Linked DNA regions of Saccharomyces cerevisiae S288C. The protein of the gene in region 1 interacts with the protein of each later gene in a biochemical or structural test. Each region holds a gene or a part of one and is shown on either strand. Other genes may lie near its edges.

Region 1 (3,924 bases):
TAGAAGCGGAGCATTTGTTGAAGAGGAAACCGGATGGCATTTTGCCCAATGGTTTGAACGTTGTTAAGTTTCAAGCAGTACATGAATTTCAAAATCTGCATGCCCTGAAAAAGGACAAAATTAATGATTTCGTCAGAGGCCATTTCCATGGTTGTTTTGATTTCGATCTAGACAACACAGTTTATTTCTTTATCGCTGGTAGATATGAATACAAAAACAAAGGTGCTGACATGTTCATTGAATCATTGGCTCGTCTCAATTACAGATTGAAGGTTTCTGGATCCAAGAAGACGGTGGTAGCGTTTTTGATCATGCCTGCCAAAACCAATTCCTTCACTGTGGAGGCACTGAAAAGCCAAGCCATTGTAAAATCTTTGGAAAATACTGTTAATGAGGTCACCGCATCCATTGGGAAGAGAATTTTCGAGCATACGATGAGATACCCTCATAATGGCCTAGAATCAGAGTTGCCCACTAATTTAGATGAGCTGTTGAAGAGTTCTGAAAAGGTTTTGCTGAAGAAAAGGGTATTGGCGCTGAGAAGACCTTACGGGGAATTGCCTCCGGTAGTCACACATAACATGTGCGATGATGCTAACGATCCAATTTTAAACCAAATTAGACATGTTAGATTATTCAATGATTCGAGTGATCGTGTAAAAGTGATTTTCCATCCTGAATTCTTAAACGCCAATAACCCTATCCTTGGTTTGGATTATGACGAGTTTGTTCGCGGCTGTCACTTGGGTGTTTTTCCATCCTATTACGAACCATGGGGGTACACGCCAGCAGAATGTACCGTCATGGGTGTCCCATCTATCACAACAAACGTTTCTGGGTTCGGTGCCTACATGGAAGACTTGATTGAAACAGACCAAGCGAAAGACTATGGTATTTATATTGTAGACCGTCGTTTCAAGAGCCCTGATGAATCTGTCGAGCAATTAGCAGACTACATGGAAGAGTTTGTAAACAAGACCAGAAGACAAAGAATCAACCAAAGAAACAGAACCGAAAGACTATCAGACTTGTTAGATTGGAAGAGAATGGGGTTGGAATACGTTAAGGCTAGACAGTTGGGTCTTCGTAGGGCCTATCCAGAGCAGTTCAAGCAACTGGTGGGTGAAACAATTAGTGACGCCAATATGAATACTCTTGCCGGTGGCAAGAAATTCAAGATTGCCAGGCCTTTGAGTGTACCCGGATCCCCCAAAGTAAGGTCCAATAGTACTGTTTACATGACTCCGGGCGATTTAGGTACCCTTCAAGATGCTAATAATGCAGATGACTATTTTAATTTGAGCACGAATGGAGCCATCGACAATGACGATGATGACAACGATACGTCTGCATACTACGAGGATAATTAAAACCATCTTAACTTCTGCTAACATATCTTACTCTTTTAGCTGAGCATCAAATTAATTTTAGTATTGCACGTTCTGTTATTCTTGTATAAGTACATAGAAATAATAGCAGTAGAAAAAATAGAAGTAATTTTACCTTTACAGTACATATGTGTTAGTATAAGGAACCTTTTACGTGGGATACTTTGCTTACGAAGAAAAGGCTGAAAAAAAAAAAAAAAGAAACTCCCCCCGCGTTTAGAATGGTGCAGCCGAGCTACCTACGCAGGGGATAAAAAGAACGAAAGCCACATCGACTACAAGCCAGAGTATAAATGGTTTCAATTCTCGTAGAGAACTCACAATTATATAATATTGGAAGACACCAGAAAAAATAACGAGTCAATTACTATGGACGACAAAGTTTCAGAAAAGGAGAGCTCCCCAAAACAAACAGAGGAGGATTCTGAAGGTAAAATGGCACATGTGCAGCCTGCTTCGTACGTGAATAAAAAAAAATATGTTTTTGGGAAGACATTAGGTGCTGGTACATTTGGTGTGGTGAGACAAGCCAAAAACACTGAAACAGGGGAGGACGTGGCCGTTAAAATCCTGATCAAGAAAGCACTAAAGGGAAACAAGGTTCAGCTAGAGGCTTTATACGACGAGTTAGACATTTTACAAAGACTGCATCATCCAAATATAGTGGCATTTAAGGATTGGTTTGAATCAAAAGACAAGTTCTACATTATCACGCAATTAGCCAAAGGGGGTGAATTGTTCGATAGGATTTTGAAGAAGGGTAAGTTCACTGAGGAAGATGCAGTGAGAATTTTGGTTGAAATATTGAGCGCAGTCAAATATATGCATTCTCAGAATATTGTTCATAGGGACTTGAAACCGGAAAATTTACTGTATATAGATAAAAGTGACGAATCTCCACTGGTAGTTGCTGATTTTGGTATCGCAAAGAGATTGAAAAGTGATGAGGAACTCCTCTATAAGCCGGCAGGCTCACTGGGTTACGTGGCTCCAGAGGTACTTACTCAGGACGGTCATGGTAAACCTTGCGACATTTGGTCGATAGGTGTCATTACGTATACTTTGCTTTGCGGTTATTCGGCGTTTAGAGCCGAAAGGGTTCAAGATTTCCTTGACGAATGCACAACTGGTGAGTATCCAGTGAAGTTTCATAGGCCTTATTGGGATTCCGTTTCCAATAAAGCAAAACAATTCATCTTGAAGGCTCTTAATTTGGATCCTTCAAAGAGACCGACCGCCGCAGAACTCTTGGAAGATCCATGGATTATTTGTACCGAATTGAAGACGCACAATTTATTGCCTGGGTTAAAGGAAGGATTGGATGCTCGTCAAAAGTTCCGTAATTCTGTTGAGAGAGTCAGATTAAACATGAAGATCCAGAAATTAAGAGATCTGTATCTTGAACAGACAGAGAGTGATTCAGATTTTGACGAAGGAAGTCAAGCAAACGGTTCAGTTCCTCCATTGAAAGCAACGGATACCAGTCAACTATCCAAGAAGCTATCAGAAGAAGAACAGTCTAAGTTGAAGTCCGAGTTAACCAGCAAAGCTTTTGCACAATTAGTTAACACAGTGCTTGCCGAAAAGGAAAAATTTTTAAATATTAACAGAGTCTGTAGTTCTGATAGCGATCTTCCTGGGAGTGATATAAAGTCTTTGGATGAGGCGAAGGAGAAACCAGAGGGGAAGGATACCAAAACAGAAGAATGATAACAGTATGCCGTTTTACCACACTGGCGAATAAATCTTCAATGACTTTGTAAGCTCGAATATGCGCAAGATTTGACTTTGATATTTTGCACTTTTTCGTCCTCACTTTCTACCTTTTTTTTTTATGCCTTAGTTGAAAAGATACGCGTATCTAATTATGTACTAATAGTCTTAATTTTACATTACTTAATTAATCGAAATGCAGCCTGTAAGGAGTTTCACAATCTTCACGTTCGTTGAAAGCTAGTTGTCTAAGTGCGCTGCCTTTTAACTCTACCATCATCAAAAGAAGAATCATTGTCGTTGTCATCATAAATATCAGCTTCGTCGTCTTCTTCATCATCGACATATTCCTCGCTATCATATTCCGTATTATAGTTTACAGTCTGTCGCTGTATCCTTCTCAACTGTCTCTTGCCTGGCTTCATGTCTGCAAATTGCACTTTCATTTGTTCAAACTGACGAAGAATGAAATAGTAATCAGATAAAAATTCCTTTAATATCTGTAACTTCTTTCTCGCAGTGTTATATTTTGCGTCTTTTGGTAGCGGGTTTGTATTTATGGAGGGATTATTATCAGTGGTAGATTTCTGCTCCAATATGTGCGCTTCATTATTCAGTGCTTCTTTTTCTTTTTCATTTCCCTCCTTTTTCTCATCTTGAGGTTTAACAATTTTATAGTCCAAGAACTCCAAGAACTCCAGCAGTGTTGCTGAATCGTGGCATAATTCATACCAATAAACCTTCCCCGATGTATTTCTGCCTCGTGCAACATCATGCGCCAACGATGGTGTGTCATGGTAAAACAATTTGAATTGGGCACTCA
Region 2 (3,459 bases), on another chromosome or scaffold:
CTAAAGAACGCATTTGACGAAGAAGGTGCAACAGATAATTCCTTTACATTAGAGGACGATAGATGGTTTGAAGTGAATGCGATCGCAGGCTGTTTTAAGATGTATTTAAGAGAGTTACCAGATTCTTTATTTTCTCATGCTATGGTGAACGACTTTACCGATTTGGCGATTAAGTATAAAGCACATGCAATGGTAAATGAAGAATACAAGAGAATGATGAATGAGTTACTCCAAAAGTTACCTACATGCTATTACCAAACTTTGAAAAGAATTGTATTTCATTTGAATAAAGTACATCAGCATGTTGTAAATAATAAAATGGACGCATCAAACTTGGCTATTGTATTTTCCATGAGTTTTATAAACCAAGAAGACTTAGCCAACAGCATGGGGTCCAGATTAGGTGCAGTTCAGACAATCCTGCAAGATTTTATTAAGAATCCAAATGATTATTTCAAGCAATAAACAATTTTCGTGGTAAATGTATACAATCCACTGCTGAGAGAGAAAAAATTTGGTCCCGCCTATCGAGGGTTTGAGTTTTATATTTTTATATTTACAGAGAGATATAGAGCCTTTATTCATTTTTTGTTATTAATGAAGTTTGATTTGTGAACAATTTTGATTTTGGAATTCTGCCTCTTCTCCTTGAAGCTTTCTTGTAACTTCTTCTCATTATCTTGCATCAATTGCCTTCTTTCCGCCTGATCTCTTGCCTTTTGAATGTTATGTTTTAATGATTGGAAGATGCCCATGTTCTCTGTGGGGGAAGCGCCAGCGATAGGAGTCCTTGGTTTAGCTACTTCTGTTATCTTCAGTTTCGAACGAACCCATTTGTTTCTCAAAATCATTGTCTGTAGGACGGAGAAGGCACCATTAAAGGCAAAGTAGAGGACCACAGCGGACGATAAGTTCATTGTGGCCGGTATAGAAATGATCGGTAGAATAGTGAAAAGACGCTTCATGGGAGAACTGAATTGTTGAGCACCAGTCTCACCCCCCAGCCTTGTAAATGAGATGAACACAGCGGCAGTGATTACTTGCAAACCTAAGTAAGGGTCTGCTTGAGTCAAGTCTGTAAACCAAGCGACACCTTGATTAGCGAACCCATCTACTGGGTAGTTAGCCATGTGTCTCAATGCGTTGAAAAACCCAAGGGCGATTGGAATTTGTAGCATGGGTGCGGCCAGCCATCTGTTCTTAATGCCGTGCGAGGAGAGCAGTTTTTTCCTTTGCATGGCGACTAGCTGACCTTGTTGCAAATCTGTAGTGGACATTAGCTTATTATTCAAGGCGTCCAGCTCGGGCTTGATATGGGAATTTCTAGCAACAGTATCAGAGGACTTGACATAGAGGGGAAACATCAGGCATCGAATGAGGATGGTGGTGGCCGCGATAGTTCCCCACCAAGGCAACCCAGAGTAAACATGAACGGCCTCCAAGACGTGTTGGATAATGTCCGAGGGCCAGTACCAGGTTTGGGCCAGGCCAATGCTATTTAAGTACCCTATATGGGAGGACAACTCGCCCACTGTTTGGGTCGTGTTAGCGATAAGGTCCGAAGTAGAAGCGGAAAGAGAAGGAGCTGAAGAGGTTAATTCATCGATGGAAGGCAACTGGGTTTGGATTTCCGAGACATCGTTGGCATTTGGGCCCGTCGAATTAAATCTTTTGGCCTGAAAAGAGATCCATGACGGATGGGGCCGGGGCAATACTATGGTTCGAGCGGTGGCCAGTCTGGAAGAGGCAGCAAACCTTGACGTGACGAGTCGAGAGGTGAGTTTGAACATCGTCGGGGAGGTTATTCTGTGGCTCCGCTTGTACGTGAACAGATACGTATAGAGGGCGAGCCACTGGTTAAATTTTTCATGGCTCGGATTACTTCCGTACTGCTGGCTAAAATCGAAATCTCGGCCTGCTGAGAGTGTTTTGAGCAATCAAGGGAACATCTGAACGTGGAAGAGCAGACGAGGCATTAGCTCGAACATAAGAACGGAACACGTCATGTTGACTATCACGAAAAGACTGGTGACCACCGATGTGCGGTCGCGAATACTGTTAAGCAGTTTAAACGGGAAAATGTCCGATGCACTGGCGCTGCTGCGTCAGCAGCAGCAGACCAGCGTGGATGTGGAGCTGCTGCACACGATGCTAGCGCGAGCCGCTGCGCTTGCCCATGCCGACACTATAGCATACATGTGGTATCAGCATGTGATGCCACGCCGGTTGCCAGTAGAGGGCCGCCTGCTATGTGAAATGGCTGGCGTAGCATTGTACCAGGACAGGCTCTTCTTACCCGCGCAGTTCCTCCAGCACTACCAGGCGATGAATCGCGATCGTCGCACCAGCCCAGAAGATGAACTGATTGAGTATGAGCTTAGACGGATTAAAGTCGAAGCGTTTGCGCGTGGCACAATGCACTCCACGGCGCTCAGGGAAAAGTGGAAGGTATTCTTGCAGGAGATGGATACGCTACCAGGGCAGCCGCCATTAAGGCTGCGCGACTTCCCGCAAATGACCAAGGCTATGGGCATAGCATTGATGCAGCAAGATGAGCAAGCAGCTGCCCTGGCGTTGTTTGGACGACAGCCCCTAGTGATAAAGAACGAATGGTCACTACCGCTACTACTGGCTGGTGTCCTTTGGCATGTTCCCGGCCCAGCGCAGGCGCGACGTGTGCTGGCGGAGTTCCGTCAAAGTTATCGCGGGCTGCCGCTGCTGGATGCCGAACTAGTGATAAAGAGAAGAGGATTTGAAATCAACACATAAATCTGGGTGGAGCATCGCTGTAACAAGGAACAACGCGTGCTAGCAAGCGGTAATGAAATACAAGGAAATCAATTTCTTCAAGGGCCATCCGAGCTCGAGGTTGCTGCCTCGAGAAGCAGTAATTCAAGCGACTGCGGCTATATTGGGGCCCGAGACCAGGGAGTACGATAACGACCCCTATAACAGGCATCCGCTGACGTACGGTTCGGACGAAGGTGCCCTGTGGGTGCGAGAGCAGATTTGTACGTTTCTGAATGATCAGCTGTTTAAGTTCGAAAATGGGGCTCGGAGCAGGACACGGGCAGACTATTTGAATCTGAATAGCGGCGCTTCGTATGGCATGCTGAACATCCTTCTGCAAACAACCTTGCCACATAACGGGTATACCAGGCAGGCGTTCATCATCACGCCAACATATTTCTTGATCAACAATTGCTTCACAGATGCGGGATTCAAGGGGAAAATGACCGCCATCAACGAGCAGGGCCACGACTCGATTGATTTCGAGTCGTTGATTTCTGCCCTTGAGCAGCACGAGGCGGAGCCGCAGCCCCATAGTACCACAGAGATGATTCAGGGGCCAAAGTTGACCAAGAAGGTCTACAGGTACGTTATGTACTGCATCCCGACGTTTGCAAACCCATCGGGAAACACATACTCGCTTGAGACCAGACGCAGACTTATCGACAT

The links.
Region 2: the proteins of CMK1 (region 1) and PET122 form a complex in vitro, tested with the Saccharomyces cerevisiae proteins (2 studies listed by BioGRID, with this or other methods).

Annotation. Positions count from the first base shown.
Region 1 is NC_001138.5:171,711-175,634, reverse strand, and holds CMK1 (calmodulin-dependent protein kinase CMK1), read left to right. Parts: upstream 1-1,757; coding exon 1,758-3,098; downstream 3,099-3,924. Other genes in the region: glycogen (starch) synthase GSY1, read left to right, coding at 1-1,370; IOC3 (Ioc3p), read right to left, coding at 3,350-3,924.
Region 2 is NC_001137.3:473,351-476,809, reverse strand, and holds PET122 (Pet122p), read left to right. Parts: upstream 1-2,004; coding exon 2,005-2,769; downstream 2,770-3,459. Other genes in the region: GTPase-activating protein BEM2, read left to right, coding at 1-465; membrane insertase OXA1, read right to left, coding at 582-1,790; YER152C (2-aminoadipate transaminase), read left to right, coding at 2,822-3,459. UniProt on the Saccharomyces cerevisiae protein: Required for expression of the mitochondrial gene for cytochrome c oxidase subunit 3 (COX3). PET122 seems to work by directly interacting with the small ribosomal subunit to promote translation initiation on the COX3 mRNA.